Linked DNA regions of Drosophila melanogaster. The protein of the gene in region 4 interacts with the protein of the main gene of each other region in a pairwise test. Each region holds a gene or a part of one and is shown on either strand. Other genes may lie near its edges.

Evidence for each region.
Region 1: the proteins of CG13005 (region 4) and scu interact in a two-hybrid assay, tested with the Drosophila melanogaster proteins (one large-scale study listed by BioGRID).
Region 2: the proteins of CG13005 (region 4) and CG13526 interact in a two-hybrid assay, tested with the Drosophila melanogaster proteins (one large-scale study listed by BioGRID).
Region 3: the proteins of CG13005 (region 4) and Elba3 interact in a two-hybrid assay, tested with the Drosophila melanogaster proteins (one large-scale study listed by BioGRID).

What each region holds. Positions count from the first base shown.
Region 1 is NC_004354.4:18,089,361-18,093,421, forward strand, and holds scu (scully), read left to right. Parts: upstream 1-1,898; 5' UTR 1,899-2,021; coding exon 2,022-2,030; intron 2,031-2,194; exon of another isoform or gene 2,195-2,294; intron 2,295-2,591; coding exon 2,592-3,350; 3' UTR 3,351-3,493; downstream 3,494-4,061. Other genes in the region: Swt1 RNA endoribonuclease, read right to left, coding at 1-564, 623-877, 957-1,062. UniProt on the Drosophila melanogaster protein: Mitochondrial dehydrogenase involved in pathways of fatty acid, and steroid metabolism.
Region 2 is NT_033778.4:22,753,576-22,756,396, forward strand, and holds CG13526 (uncharacterized protein), read left to right. Parts: upstream 1-1,643; 5' UTR 1,644-1,749; coding exon 1,750-2,214; 3' UTR 2,215-2,321; downstream 2,322-2,821.
Region 3 is NT_033779.5:4,685,576-4,689,505, forward strand, and holds Elba3 (early boundary activity 3), read left to right. Parts: upstream 1-1,935; 5' UTR 1,936-2,073; coding exon 2,074-3,213; 3' UTR 3,214-3,381; downstream 3,382-3,930. Other genes in the region: CG11929 (uncharacterized protein), read left to right, coding at 1-1,530; CG3251 (uncharacterized protein), read right to left, coding at 3,485-3,930. UniProt on the Drosophila melanogaster protein: The heterotrimeric Elba complex is required for chromatin domain boundary function during early embryogenesis.
Region 4 is NC_004354.4:16,801,848-16,806,264, forward strand, and holds CG13005 (uncharacterized protein), read left to right. Parts: upstream 1-1,802; 5' UTR 1,803-1,912; coding exon 1,913-2,145; intron 2,146-2,223; coding exon 2,224-3,433; 3' UTR 3,434-3,907; downstream 3,908-4,417. Other genes in the region: CG4789 (uncharacterized protein), read left to right, coding at 1-66; Rai1 (Rat1 interacting protein 1), read right to left, coding at 190-622, 710-1,404.

The DNA.
Region 1 (4,061 bases), 1.3 Mb from region 4:
GCTGCAGGCAGTCCGACTGGTACTTGCTCTTTAGCTTGTCCAGCTCTTTGATTACTATGTACGGAAGGTACAGCATGCTGCCCACCGTGCCCGGCAGCACCACATCGGTCAGTCTCTCCACGAACTTGTGGTTGTGTATGAGGACGTTGGTGTCCAGCACAAAGTACATGTAATCCTCAAGCCTTGGGGGCAGCTCCTCGGCATCGGCCGCCTGCAGCATCAATATAGTGTCGTCCTCTTCCTTAGCCTCATCCTGACCTTTCTGTGGCGCCTCCTCTTCAATGGACTCCGCCGGCAGCATCAATAGAGTGTCGTCCCCTTTCTTAGCCTCATCCTGATCATTCTGTGCCGCCTCCTCTTCAATAGACTCCTGCCATTCCATGGGCTCGACCTCCATATCGCTGGCCGTCGAGCCATCAAATGCACTTGGATTTGTGATGTTGCAGGCTTCTGGTTGTTTTTCTATCACCTCTTCGTTGATCTTGGCCACAATATTGTTGTTGCGCTCCTCATATAGCTGCTTCTGCTGCAGCGAAGCTCTTAACAGCATGAGACGCTGGTAGGCTAGGGAGACGATAAGGAGAACATGGGATATGAGTAACTATATGCACCGGGCACTCACCAGTTTGGGTACGTCCCGCCTTCAGGCGATTGGCATCGACCAGGGCTTTTGGCTTTTCCCAGGCATTCATCGCCACCTTAGGCGGAAACTTCAGGAGTCGCTGGGGCGTAGATGTGGACGCACTTGATCGACGAGATGCGGAGGAACTGTGGGTGATCCGCTTGGTGGTCCCCTGCTCCTTCTCGTTGTCCTGCACCCGCTTTAGTTGGCCCTGCAGGCGCTTGAGGCGGTCCTGGGCGGGATGCTGGCTCACTCCTTGCCATATTGCGTGGAAAAGTGGAGTTGAATCTTGGTTCTGGCATTCTGGCAAACGCGCAGTTTGCATGGGTTTTACCATTTGACGGACGTGGCGTGCTGATGATCCTAACCAGCTGGTCGTCGTCCAACGGCCTCAGATTGGAAGACTTTGGCGTGTGCTTACTTTCTCCACCGAGCGACATATTGTGTTCTTTAACATTTGATTTCTAGGAAGTACTCATTTATTTTGTATTTCAATAGGCAATCTGACTTAGAGGTGGAGAAACATCGATGACATCATCGATATCATCGATCTTTTCAAACAATCACAAGCATCGATGTTTTTCGAGGAATCATCGATGTTCTTCCATACATCGGAGGACAAAAGTATATAAATTGGGGGTATAAATTAAATTCGGATATAACTTTGTTATGATTTATTTAAAATACTCCTTATTTATATAAGCAATATTTTTTTTTAATTATTATTTATTAAGTGAAGTAATAAGAAATATTAAAAATGAAAATAATCTTAAATTAAACAGAAACAATGTTTTGTTTTTATTTAAAGCATAAATGTTTATGTTCAAATTAATTTAAGTTATAAACCATAAAATAAATTAAATGAGTATATGTAATTCTACGGCATACATTTTGGCGTGGAAGCTAAATACGAATTCATACAATGAATAGCTTATAACTAAAATTTACTGTAATAATCTATAGCATAAGTTGTTTTAAGCCATTGAATTTGAATAGCTAAAGATTTCATTTATAAAGACTTGAATGCTGCCACCTTAATTGTTGCAAAAACATGTTCTTGAAATAATAAGTTGCCAAGTTAGTTAGCTTGCCAAATAAAATCTTCACTGTTTGCCTGCTCGAGGTAATTTATATTTAAAAGTTCTTTCAAAATCTTGCAAATTAATTGCTTGGTAATAAACAAATTGATTTAAATTTAAATTTAAAAAAAAACTCAAAATTTAAAAGCTAAGCCAATGATAGGAGCCCCCTAACCGGTAGGCAGTATTTTCAAGCGGCGCACATACGGTCACACTGCACGGTTTCGAATCGCTTAACAAGTTTTTGCTTAAAAAGCTTTGCCGAGCACTAAGTAACCACCGCCTTTCGCACCCACAACACAACGCCACCAGCCAGAACAATGATCAAGGTACGTGGGGTGCTGTAAATAAGGATCACACTGCGATTAGACGGGAATTAGTGCAGCAAAAGCGGCCGATGACTGCGCGGCCGGGGTGCAAAGTCCAATTGGGATGTGAACTCGTGTCTATTATAAACATGGAGTCCCATAAATAACTGTATCTCTGCCCACAGCGATGTACCTTGTACCCAGCCAACAATTAGCATTACTTCCCCACCGAGTTATACAATAATACAATGCGGCTTATCGGGAAACTGGACACCGAACGCATCGGTCAGCTGCTTTCGAAATAATAAGATAAACCGGCATCGGATTATAAGTTTATCTGCAAATTGAGGATCGTGCTATTTCTATACTAACTTTAACGGACAACTTCTCAATGTTGTTAAAGATAAGGATCTCAGTCCTACAGATCGTATATTTTGCATTCTATATGCTTATTCTGTTAAGATCTCTAAACATTGATGTTGTAGTTGGGATGAAATGGAATGGAGTGCATTTTTAGAATCTATTTCCTTGGATATATACATATATATATAGTTTCTAACCCCATGCCTTTCCCACCCCCAGAACGCCGTTTCCCTGGTGACCGGAGGAGCCTCTGGACTGGGCCGCGCCACCGCCGAGCGCCTGGCCAAGCAGGGCGCCAGCGTGATCCTGGCCGATCTGCCCTCCTCCAAGGGCAACGAGGTGGCCAAGGAGCTGGGCGACAAGGTGGTCTTCGTGCCCGTGGACGTGACCTCCGAGAAGGATGTGAGCGCCGCTCTGCAGACGGCCAAGGATAAGTTCGGTCGTCTGGATCTGACTGTGAACTGTGCGGGCACAGCCACCGCGGTAAAGACGTTCAACTTCAACAAGAACGTGGCGCACCGCCTGGAAGACTTCCAGCGGGTGATCAACATCAATACCGTGGGCACGTTCAATGTGATCCGTCTGTCCGCCGGACTGATGGGCGCCAATGAGCCCAATCAGGATGGACAGCGCGGCGTGATCGTGAACACCGCCTCGGTGGCTGCCTTTGATGGCCAGATCGGCCAGGCGGCCTACTCCGCCTCCAAGGCAGCCGTGGTGGGCATGACCCTGCCCATTGCCCGTGACTTGAGCACCCAGGGCATACGTATCTGCACCATTGCACCGGGTTTGTTCAACACGCCTATGCTGGCCGCCCTGCCGGAGAAGGTGCGCACCTTCCTGGCCAAGTCCATACCGTTCCCGCAGCGCCTGGGCGAGCCCAGTGAGTACGCCCACCTGGTGCAGGCCATCTACGAGAATCCGCTGCTCAACGGCGAGGTCATCCGTATCGACGGTGCTCTGCGCATGATGCCCTAGATCCGGCTGAGCACTGTCTTGGACCTGTGGAAGTGGCTCGATCAGTTTGCATTTATCTATTGTCTAGTGGTTAAGCTGAAAAGTTTTATTATCTGTCCCGAAATTATGTAATAATTGCTATTAAACACACAATGTCACATTTCAAATTTTGGAGGCGCGTCTGCCTGCTGTTCTTCAACACTGGTTATATATAAGGGATAGCTGGGGTGTATTGGCTGCACAGGTCGTTGCAACAGGTGGATTAATTTTTTGTAAGTCAATTTTATTACTGACTTACTATTTGTGCAATTAATTCTTAAGCAACCATGTATTTATAATAAGAAAATAGTTTACTATCATATTTACAAAGTTGGTCTGAGCTTAAATATTTATTGAATAAAAGGGTATTTCTAAGTCGCTAGCCCTTAAGATTTCCCTGTTGTTCCCGCAAGTTGGCAGTTCCGTTTCAAAATGTAAACAACGAACATTTGAAAATCGCTCTTCAGAAGATAATGCCATATCAGCGCTGCTGAGCCGGGAACTTCGTAGGGCAGCTGGCGGGGATCAGGAGAATGTACCCCCTGTCCAGCAAACGGATCGCTTGGGAACACAAGACGCAGAGCAATTTAAGTGGAAGGAATCCCCGGCAGGAGATGATGCACTGGTGGTCAATGAGGATGCATTTTAAGTGAAGAAGAACGAAATGGACACTGTGCTGGACTGTCTATACAG
Region 2 (2,821 bases), on a different chromosome or scaffold from region 4:
TTGAGTGCATTCGGTTGAGTATGTGAGAGCTTGTCGATTATCGCAAGCATTTGGCGAACGGCAAACTTTTGCGCTTGTCGGCGTTAACAAGCCACAGCCATGCGTTTAACTAAGCGTAAATGTAACAGTGTGTGTGTGTGTGTGCGGAAGGGTAAGGGGGTGGCGGTTGAGGGGGAGTAGATCCTGTCAGCGTGTGACTAAAGTGTGTTGGTGTGTGTGTGAGTGTGTCGGTGCGGTTGGGTAGCAGCAACATTGTTGCAAAATGATTTTGAAAAAAAAAAACCATCAATAACTCAAATATAATGACAGTTTTCCACTTGTTGTTGCCCGTCACAATCACCCGCCGCCCCTAGCTGCCAACCACCACCATCCCCCGCCCCTAAGTGGGGCTAAATGGATGAATAACTTAAGCCAGCTGCTTCGCCTTTCCTCTTAGTGTGCGATGTTATGTAATGTAATAACGTCAATCAAATTTAAAAAGGCAGACCAACTATTTCAAAATCAATTTTCCTGAGACCCCGCCCCAGCGCCCCTTCGCCATTGCGCCCCCACCCCCTTTTCATGGAAGCGGTGGGAATGTGGAAAAGTGGAAAGGCAGCGGAAGGAAACAGGAAAGCGAGCTCGGCTTAAGCAAATACACAAGCACAAGTTGTTGCAGCATCAGAGGAATCCTGAGTGGGCTGTTGCTTGTGGAGCGGAGGAAGTAGGCTAATGTAGCAGAAGAAGACTCCGGACTCAGTCACTTTGCAAACAGTATCCCCCACTAAGCTCTGACTAGCGAAATTTGCAGCCAGGCACCGTGACACCGAGTGAAAAAGTGCCTGCCATGGTTAAAGTTGGGTTTAAACTTTTGACTGGCCGTGGCGCGTGGTTTTTGCCCCCGGGAGAAATGTATCATTCGTGTCATTAATCATTCGTCATGTGGGACGGCGACAACATTTCATTTGCTTATCATCCGGCTCAAAGTCTTTGGGGGAATGAACGCAACAAGAGCAGGCCTCAAAGTTGAATGAATCAAATGGGCTGTCGGAAAACTTATTTCTAAGCCTAGAAATCCCTGACAAGTCAGTGGCTTCGCGTCCCCTGCGATTGTAGGGATTTGAGGAGGCGGAGGTAGAAGCATTAGACAGAAGGTGTGGTTAAATAAATGTTTTCTTATTTGCTGAAATTACAGCAGTCTTAATTAGGATTTTCTCAAAAATATTTCACAGTATGGTTGAAATTTAAAAGTCCAACTATGATAGCATTTATTCAATATAATTACTTGAAACTGGACAGGGATTACAAAAAATCCTTTCAGCTAGTACAAGAGCATCCTTTCAATTTATATGCCCGCTTGATTTTTTATGGCCAGCACTCCACAGCACAACTACTGCCCATCATCATCATCATCGTCATCTAACATCATTCCTGTCCCATGGACGGCCACTCAAAGGCAAGCGCTGAATTGACAAATTGATGGATGGTTCTCCAAACGTTGCATGCTTCAGCATCTCTGCTTTCCTTATTTTTTCCCTTTATTGCCCCTTGTACGAGTATATGATGCATTATTATTCCGGAAAAGTTTGTGACCGCAACAACAACAATTGCTTGCCTAAGTGTTTTATTAGCCATCGAGAACAGAGTTTGAGTTCGGTTGAGTTGAGTTGATTGTCAGTTTTCATACACATCGGTTTTTCCCCATTTCTCCTTTTTTTTTTTGTATTCCTGATTTTCCTGAACTACTTTAGGGTTTTATTTGCTAGTGCCATGCCTTCTTTTTCCGGCAATGAGCTGACGAATGAGCATATCGACGAACTGAGGGATGCCTTTGAAAAGTATGATCTGGACTCGAATGGCACATTATCAGCCAACGAGGTGCGACTGGCTCTAATATCAGTGGGTTACGAAATCACTGAGGCAGAGTTGTACGATCTCATCCATTCGGTGGCTGTGAGAGACGAGGAGAGGCTGGACTTGAAAAAATTTATACGCATGATGGCGCCCCGAATGGCCAATGTGGATAGTGATAAAAGTCTATGCCGGACCTTTAACATGATTGACCGCGATCGCGACGGCTACGTCACCGTCCAGGATGTTCGTGCCATTATGGTCGTCCTGGGCGAAGTCGTAACCGATGACGATATTAAGGATATCTGCCAAGCAGTCGATATGGATGGCGATGGTCGCATAAGCTTGCGCGATTTCGTAGGCTTTATGCACAGCCCCATTTGAGCTGAGACAGCAAGCAAAATTGAACATTTTTCATACAGAGTAAGCAAACAAACAAAAATGTATCTCACAAATCTATTGTAGATTATAATAAAAATTATTGTTTTCATAATTATTAATATATTTAATTTTTGTGTAAAAAGCCAGTCAGTGTTTATGAATTTTCGTTTAATTTTATAATGGTTTTTTTTTTATTTAAAATGTTCTTTATTTTGTTTTTAGTAGGGCTTAATGTTTGAAGTACTTAAAAATTGAAATTCAATACATAGACGTACATATATTTCTGCCTGCTGGCAGAAAAAACGAAGGCGGCTGAATGGAAAACGGAAGGAAAAAATTGAGAGCATAAAGCCAGAAATTAATTCAACAGCACGTTTCGTCCATTAAGCCGCCAGAGCTTTGCTTGCTGACTTTGCCATCCTTTCGCCACCGCCCCTGCCACTCCCCCTGCAGGACATGGACATGGACACATGTGCAATGGCCGCACACACAAACACACATGCAAAGTGTTGTGTAAACAAGTCAGCTGCCAGTTGGCTGGGCGCTGCAGGCGGGGCTCACAGTAGGGGAAGAGCTAGAAGATGAAGAAGGAGCTTATCCAGAAGGAACG
Region 3 (3,930 bases), on a different chromosome or scaffold from region 4:
GTTGATCAGGCTACACAAAAAAAAGATACAGCTAATTGCGAGTGCAAAACGCTATCCAAAGAATTTATTCAAATATTTTTGAAGCCTGAAACTGCTCAAGAAAAGCAGAAATCAAATAATTCTCAACGCACCACAGATACCCCAATAAACTCGGAAAACTCAACTGGTCTACAATGCAGTAGAGAATGTAATGGAAGTTCTAGCAAAGACAATCGGAGATGTTGTAAGGCGAATGGATATGAAATGCATCTGAAAGGTGACCAATTCCCAACTGCTAAACAATGCTTAAAAGATACCGAAAATTTTCTAGAACAATTTAATCGGGTTTTTGCTAAAACAAAAAGCGAAGAAACACTTTCCGACAAGTCTAGAAATACTTCAGCTTTCTCTGCAAATCCCACGAAACAAAATGATACTGAACATGGGGTTGAAAACTTACTGGGTGAAATTGTTAAAAAACCCAAATCAAAGGTTTCCTCCACATCTTGCTTGGAGGCAAAGAGTTCCGAACAATCCAATAAAAGTGTAGAGAAGGAATTATACAAATCCTTTATTGAACAGCTTATTAGTCATTTCACAAAATCCAAGTCGTGTGAAAATAATCAGGCGCAGAATGCCCAATCAGAGTCCTACTCATTCGATCGCTTACTGCCGGAATTCGTAAAAATGTTTACGAGATCCAACAGCCTCGAGGAGGACAGACCCAAAAAAGTGAGCATATCAGAGAAGAAAACCATTTTGGGTGCCAATCCGATGACCAGCTTCAATTGTTCGAAAACTCCTCATAATATTAAATCCACTGCACTGAAATCGGAACTTAAGACGTCGGATATGGAATTGGATGCGAACGGACGTAGGGGTTCCTGTCAACTAGAAGGAGAATCTAAACCAAGTGCAATTTTTAGGAACACCCAGCGGATGAATAACCCGCCACGTGGTTGTCAATACTGTGGCGATGGCAGTCTGCCCATTCTGGATTCCTTGATGGATGAAATATTTCGGCTAATTGGGCAGCGGCCCTTCGATGACGTGGTCCTTACCATACTGCGTCAAGAGGATAATGTCTACCACATCAAGGTGCGTGAGATGGCAACCGGCAAGGACCTAGGCTGCATTCTGGGAAGTGGGAGGGCCATCAACCAAGCTATCGGGATAGGATTATTCGAGGACATTCCCACGTTCTGTGAGCTGGACAAAAACAGGCAGTACGATCCCAGGGACTGTCCACTGGACGAACTTTGCCGTCGGCAGTGCGGCGGTGAGATTGCACCAGATGGAAGTGCCGACAAGGAAAGGGTCGTCGAATTTTGCACTCGTGTGCTCGGTCTGCCCGCTGGACAAGCGTCCCGCTTCTTCTCCGTGACCAATGCCCTCAAAATGGGAAATCGAGAACTAACTGGCCGAGGAGCGGTCACTAGTAGCTTGGTTGACAATTTTTCTTCTAAGGATTTGAGCGATGTGGCCAAGACATCCAGTTTATTCCTACGCATTATTTCTGGCCAGTGTAATGACGTTCAAGATGATGAATAGGATTCATCATATGGGTTCGATAGCCATAATGCACTTTAGCTTTCATACCATTTAAATTTCCCTTAAGACTTTGTAACAACATTTTTCTAGAATTTTTTTTTATGAAAATATATTGTCTTATTTTATTAAATTATTTTCCTATGTAGAAATGTCGCAAACTTGCAATTCGCATTTATTGCCACTAAGCAGCTGCACATTGGGAAAATCCGCTCAATCAGCGTCCTTCGCAGGTAATACACAATTAGAACATTAGATCCCAGTATGAGCCGGACCAAGTTTTAATCCCTTCGAACTGACAGATGTTAGACATTAGAAAGCCTAGATAAAAGTATGGAGTTTACGGCAGGTAGAACCATTTAACTAAACCCATTTACATCTATAAAATAGCTTGCAGCGAGGAGGAGTTCATCAGTTTGCCAAGAACTCTTCACCTATCAAGACATTCAAACAAGACGCGTAGAAAAGAACCAAAGCCAAGCCAATTATATCAATTAAAACTTTGTTCAAATCTTTTCCGAACATATTTAAAACACATCCGCCATCATGAGCAACATCAGCAACGACAGTGGATTGGATGACTCCGCGAACAGTGGAGCCGTTGTCAGCGCCAATGGACCATTGGCAGCGACTCGGTTATCCTGGTTCCTGGCCGAAGTCGATGACGGCTTGATGAAGGATGGGAAGCCAAATGGTCGACGCCGTCTCTGCGTTCTCCATTCGATGGAACTCCTAGAGTCAGATGTTTCAGACAAATACATGACCCGATTCGTAGAATTCCGGGTCAATGGAATGGTGCTGGAGGCGAAACTCATACTGGCAGCGGATGAGAGGCGCCTGGTGGATGCAGCATTGCTGTCCATGAGCAAGGAGGAGAGGGAAGATGCCGGCGGCCAGCAACTGTTGGTCCAGTACACCGAGAATGAAAAGGCGGGCGAGCGCCTCATCCAGAAACTTGTTTCTCCAAACAATGTAATGCTGCTGAGCACCAAGCCCGAGCTGAAGGGTAATCCTCTGGTGAGGTTGGCTCCCGGCTGCATTGCCCACATCCTATATGCCTACGAAAGTCGTGATTATATGGAAAAGATACTACTGCACCTGAAAGCGCGAAGCTTTGATCTCGCCTTCGATGATAATTTGGAAGCTGAACCGGAGGCCATGAATGATGACACTTGGATGCTGGTGCAATACAGTCCCGAACCGGAGATGGTGGTATACCAGGTGGTGCAGTACAGACAAACCGTGTGGAGGAAAGAGAATCTCTTTAAGGACGTTATTGCCTACATGCAACTTCCTGGTAGCGACATCGTCCTCCAGGCGGTGGTCATCAGCTATGGCCAGGACAAAGAGGTCCAGGACGCGAAGTATGAGGAGTTGCAACGATTCTCTTTTGATATTGACTTTCCACTGCCCGAAGAACTGGAGAAGCACCCCGATCACATGACGTCCACCGCCCTCTTCTCGCGAACCAGCTTGTATCAGAAGGCGGAGCAGCGGGACACTACTGGAGAGCACAGGGAGTTGCGAAAAAGTCTGGAACAGATGAGCGAAAAGGCGCAGGGCGAGGCCCAAATGATCATAGATGCCTTCGACATGGTGGACAATATCAACAAGAATCTGCAGAGTCGTTTGTCCGGAGAGGTGCGATCGGTAGTGGAGGTCACATCCGGAGACGAACTTCATTAGTTGGCAAACACATCACATTTTCTTTATACATATATAGTCTACTAAGTTTCGTTGAAAGTTTAAAACTTAAATGGTAAATATTATTAGGCTAGAATTAAATACTAATTGTAAACTATATGTTTAGGTAATTTGAATAAATATATAAAGATCTGCAAATGATAAACGTATAAATATTTCTGTTTTTCACGTTTTATTCTGATTTTCGACATGTTAAACATGTTAAATATAAATATTTAAATTGACATATTTGTAAAAACAAGAAAAAAATATATTAAAATGGGGCAGTGCACTGGGGTGCAGGCGGGTGGGGGGCATGATCAAACGCAAGCATGTATGGTGCGTTGTGTACAATTATCAAAACGTGCATCATGACCGACGGCGGACCAACTCGTGGTTGTTGGACGAAAACGAACGATCCTGTCTGATGTATCATCAAAGGATTAGGCATCAACGGCCGGGTGGGTTCCATCCATCTAGAGGGCCCGAAAACAGGTGGCTGCTGTGCTGTTACGTTAACCGGACGAGGATCGGCCACCGGTGGTGGTGGCATCGAGGGAGCCGTACCAGGCATCGGGTCAGGGACGAATCCTTGCTGATCACCTTGTACCGACTGTCTCCCCATTTGGCTATTGTGGAGACGTTGGGGCCGCTTGCGAGCAAAGTCCCAGGCCTTGAATTCATCTGGTGGCAGTGGATGTAGATTATCGGAGGGCACAT
Region 4 (4,417 bases):
GGCCCGACCAGTGCCAAAATGGAAGACAGCGTCTTGCCCCTCCTGGATACCCAAGACCTCAAGTGACTAATGCACTCAATTCAGTAGTTCTAAGTTGTAGTTATCGTACGGGAAGCATTACAAAAAGAAACGATTAATTCCCATTATAAAATCAGACTTGCTGTTGTTTAGAAAATGTTATGCATTGCCTTAGGAGCGCGTTTTGAGCAAATCTCGATACCAGTTGGGCAGGATTTGATGTTCCGGACCGCGCAGCACTTCGTAGCTGGCGTGCTTATTTAAAAAAGTCACCTGGACCACCGCAAACGGATCGTTAATGTTCACCAGCAGCTTCTTAAGATTGCGCAGAAACTGTTCCAGGTACCAAGCCATTGCCGATGCACTCCACGGTTTGTTGCGGGCCAGTGTTGCCACATCGATCTCATCGATCCTCTGCAGCATGCCCTTGGTGTCGCGGAGTCCCACGTAGAGCGTAGTGATGCCCACCAGGAATGACTGACTCCACCAGTTGGCAGACTTGAACGATTTGAAGGTGCGAATTTGGTGAGGGTTCATATTGAAGACGCTGGTCTTTAGCTCTACGAATTTCAATGAGTCGAGCACTCTGCAATCTTTGAAGTCACTAATGGGATTCGTGTAAGTGTATACACAAATAATGAATGGATGGAACATTAATCATTCATAAGTATTTAAACCCTGGACCACTCACACTGGCTCCTTGCTGTCCACACAGTCCAGTTCGGCGCCGTATAGCATCAAAATCCCGGCCAGGTTCGTGCGGTACACGCCCATGAACTCCTCTGCCTCGTTGACCGGCACATTGGTCACCGGTTTTCCCTGCGCCTGGGCACTGGTCAGGTACTGCTCGAACTTGAAGCCCCAGGAGCACATGACCCGCTGTGCCCTGCTCATGTTCGCGTTCTCCAGCTGCTGCTCTGGGGTTTCCTCCTTGCACATGTAGACGTTGCCGTTCAGGAGCGTCGCCTTGACGCGGAATGAGCGATTATCATACTGCAGGCACATTATCTGCCGCAAAATACCGCGCAGTGTTACAAAGTCGCTGTCCAGGCGTAGATTTCTCGCATCGGAGCTACTCTGACGGAGCAGCTCCTTCTGGTGTTGCTTAATGTAGGTCAGCATAATTTCCAGATCCCGTTTGCCGTTCTCGACGGGCTTACGGATCACATCCTCTATACCCCCGTTAAGATCGAACGGCAGCGGTGGCCACGGTTGGCCAGCCAAGTAGCTGGCGCAGCTGGCGTCGTCCACAAATTCCCGGCTAGCGTTTATGCTGCACACACCGATGCACTTCGGGCGGCTTATCGAGGGAAACGGCGTATTGTACATCGCGCCCAGCTTGTGCTGCCCCCAGGGCACACTGATGAAGCCCGCGTTCTCGGCCATTTCCTTCGCCTCCGCGGATTTTCCAAGTTCAAACTATAATTATCCGGAAAATAACGCTAATATTTATTAGAGGTGGAGAAAAATCGCAAACATCGATGTTTTTCGAGGAATCATCGATTATTTTCTTTCTCCACTGCGCAACTAAATGGGCTAAGACCTTGGGAAATGGTTGTGGTGAGAATCAAGTGTAGGCGATTAGTATCGAAAGCTAAATTGTATTAAAAATGGGATGATGATGTGCTTATTAATTTTAATGTAATAAGTGAACGCTAATGATGATAGTACCTCGATGAAGAGAAAAAATTTTGACTCTTAGATTTGCTTTATGTTCTGTTTGAGCACGTCTATTCACCACGAGGTATTTGCAAGCTTAAATCAAACAATTTGTGTGACCACAGTCATGGGAATCTAAGAATATACTAAATACCAAAATAACACGAAATCCGATTCGGTTTTGTTCATAGATTTGTTTTTATGTTTATTTGTAACCACCAAACGTGGCTGGCCAATGAAGCATCTCCTGGAGGATCCCTCGGTCCTGGCCGAGCTGCAGGTGCTGCCGGATAAGACCGGTGGTGTACAGGATCGACAGGAGGCCGCCAAGAATCCTGCAGAGAATTCCGTGCCCGACGAAGATTTGCCGGCTGCAGGAGGCGATTTGCTACGCGTTAAGGATACTCTGGGCCAGCTGGCCTGCAGTCTGCACAAGCTGTCCAAAAACGATCACATAGTCATCGATCGGTGGGTAGTAATCCCTATTTTTTGGAGCTTTCATTCACCTTCTCTGATCACGTTCCGTGATCTTTTATTCCTGTGCAGAAAGCGCCATCAGGTGATTCGCACAGATGCGGCTACGCAACAATTAACGATTTACCGCTGTCCGGATCCCGCCGTCATGGGGATTCGCCCGGCGATAGAGAAAAATGCCCAGAATCCGCCTGCCAAAGTGGGTAGACCATCGAAAAGAGCCTGTTCGGTTGCCACCGCTCCTGTGGCGAAGAAACCAACACTAGCGGAGCAAAAACCTGCTCCCGACACCCATCGCACTAGATCCGGTCGCCAGGTGCGCAGCTTGATGCCACAGCCCGCTCCCGTGACCAGTGGCTCAGCGGTTGAGCCAAGTTCTGCCCGCATGCTTGAGATGCTGGTGGCCGACTTGCGGGACAAGGACTACCGGGCACCCATGGCAGCGCCGAAAAGCACGAGTGTCAGCAGCAGCGTCAGTATAAGCCAGGAACCGACCACAACGACAACCATCCAACGAGCCGTGCCCAAAAATGCCGTTTGTCCCGGCTGTGGAAAGATCTTTTTGGGACGCCGTCTGCAGCGTCACTTTGTCAAATTCCCAGAGCACATGCCGCGTCCGGGCGAGCAGACACCACCTGTAGCTGTAGCTACAGTACCATCAACGGTTCATCCTCCCTCCACGCCGTCGCTGTTCGGCCTTCTGACCGCCCAACTGCAGCGGCATTCCCATCTCAGCGAGGAACAGCGCTCTGATCTCTTTCTTAACGAACTTAACGACTTTGTGGAGCAGCTGCAATTGCGCAGCCAACGGCTTATACGGAATACCTCTGGACTGCATTTTGTAAATGCACGAATTGCACGAGTTTTGGGCATACCCGAGGGTCAGTATGCGTTGGATATGTCCGCCATGGAGTCGCCGCTGGCACCGATGCCGGAATCAGAGGGAGCGGCCTTGGTTGCCGGCAGCGGTAGTGAAGGAGCCCGCAATCTGGTGGTCTACGCAGAGTTGAGCATGTCGCTGGACGATCCGCTCACAGACGAGGCTGCACAGCGTCTCAATCTATCGGCGGGCGGTCAACTTCATCCGCCTTCCGAGGAGAGTCTGCTTAGAAACGTCAGCGATCTTATGCAGCCGCCAGTGGCAACTGCTCCTCCGACTGTGAACCATGGCTACGATCATGCCAGCGATAATGCCGTGGAGGCCCTGACCATGAAGGAAACGCCCAACACAGAGGCTATTCTCGATCTCAACGTGGACTTCTTCCAGTTCAATCCGAATTAGAAGGGACAAATGTATAGAAAGCGCTTAGCTAGCAATGGAGATGAAGAATTCTATGATAGAGTGAAAGGTATTTCAACTACTTTTTAACTTGAACACTGAAAAGGTTCTAAAATATGAAAGTTTAAAACATTTATTTTATTTATCGTGCATATTGCATGAAGAAAGTCTCTGAAAATTGAAACGAACTTTTCTAAGTAGATTAAAATGTATTAATGGAGTATGTAAATATAGAAATAGGGATCTCTTAGATACATTTTGGTATTGTATTTTGAATTTTTACTGAATATTAATATTGAAATTGTATAATTTGAAAAGTAACCTCATATAACCTCCAGCCAAAAATCTATGCAATTAGTACGCAAATGTAAATGGTTGAGTGGCAAAAATGCCGCATGCGGATGGAGATTATTTATGAAGTACTTAACTGGCTAACGAAAGATGCCTATTAAATGAATTTATCTTCCTTGATTTTTGAAATTGTTGCGTTATTATTTGCTGGAACATTTGGAAGTGAATAAAAATCCTGGCCAATTTAGTTTAATGTATATATGCTTGTGGTTTCTAGCAGCTTTTCATACTTTTCATTTGTGTTTACTGCAAGTCAATTAAATTGATCGCAATTTTAATGGCGTTCAGCTAAATGGTAAATTTCTGTGAAAAATTATTATTGCTTTTAGTACAAAGCTGCTGCTTAAATAAATCCCTTTCAATACCTGTGTGTATTACAATATCTAGAATATCTTTATTGAAAAGCGTGCGTGTATCTATGTTTACTTTCAGGTGTAAAGTTTATTTGCCACGATGTAATCATATTTTCTGGCCATCCACTTGATTTTCAAAATACGTGGAGGATGGCAAGGGGGTGGCTAAAATCAATTTGGCAGTTATCACTGCAAATGGACGACCGTGTTTGCCTTGGTTCAATATGATTAAAGCTGATGACCGCCATGGAATTGCACCTAAAAGTGCAGTCAGAAAGTGACC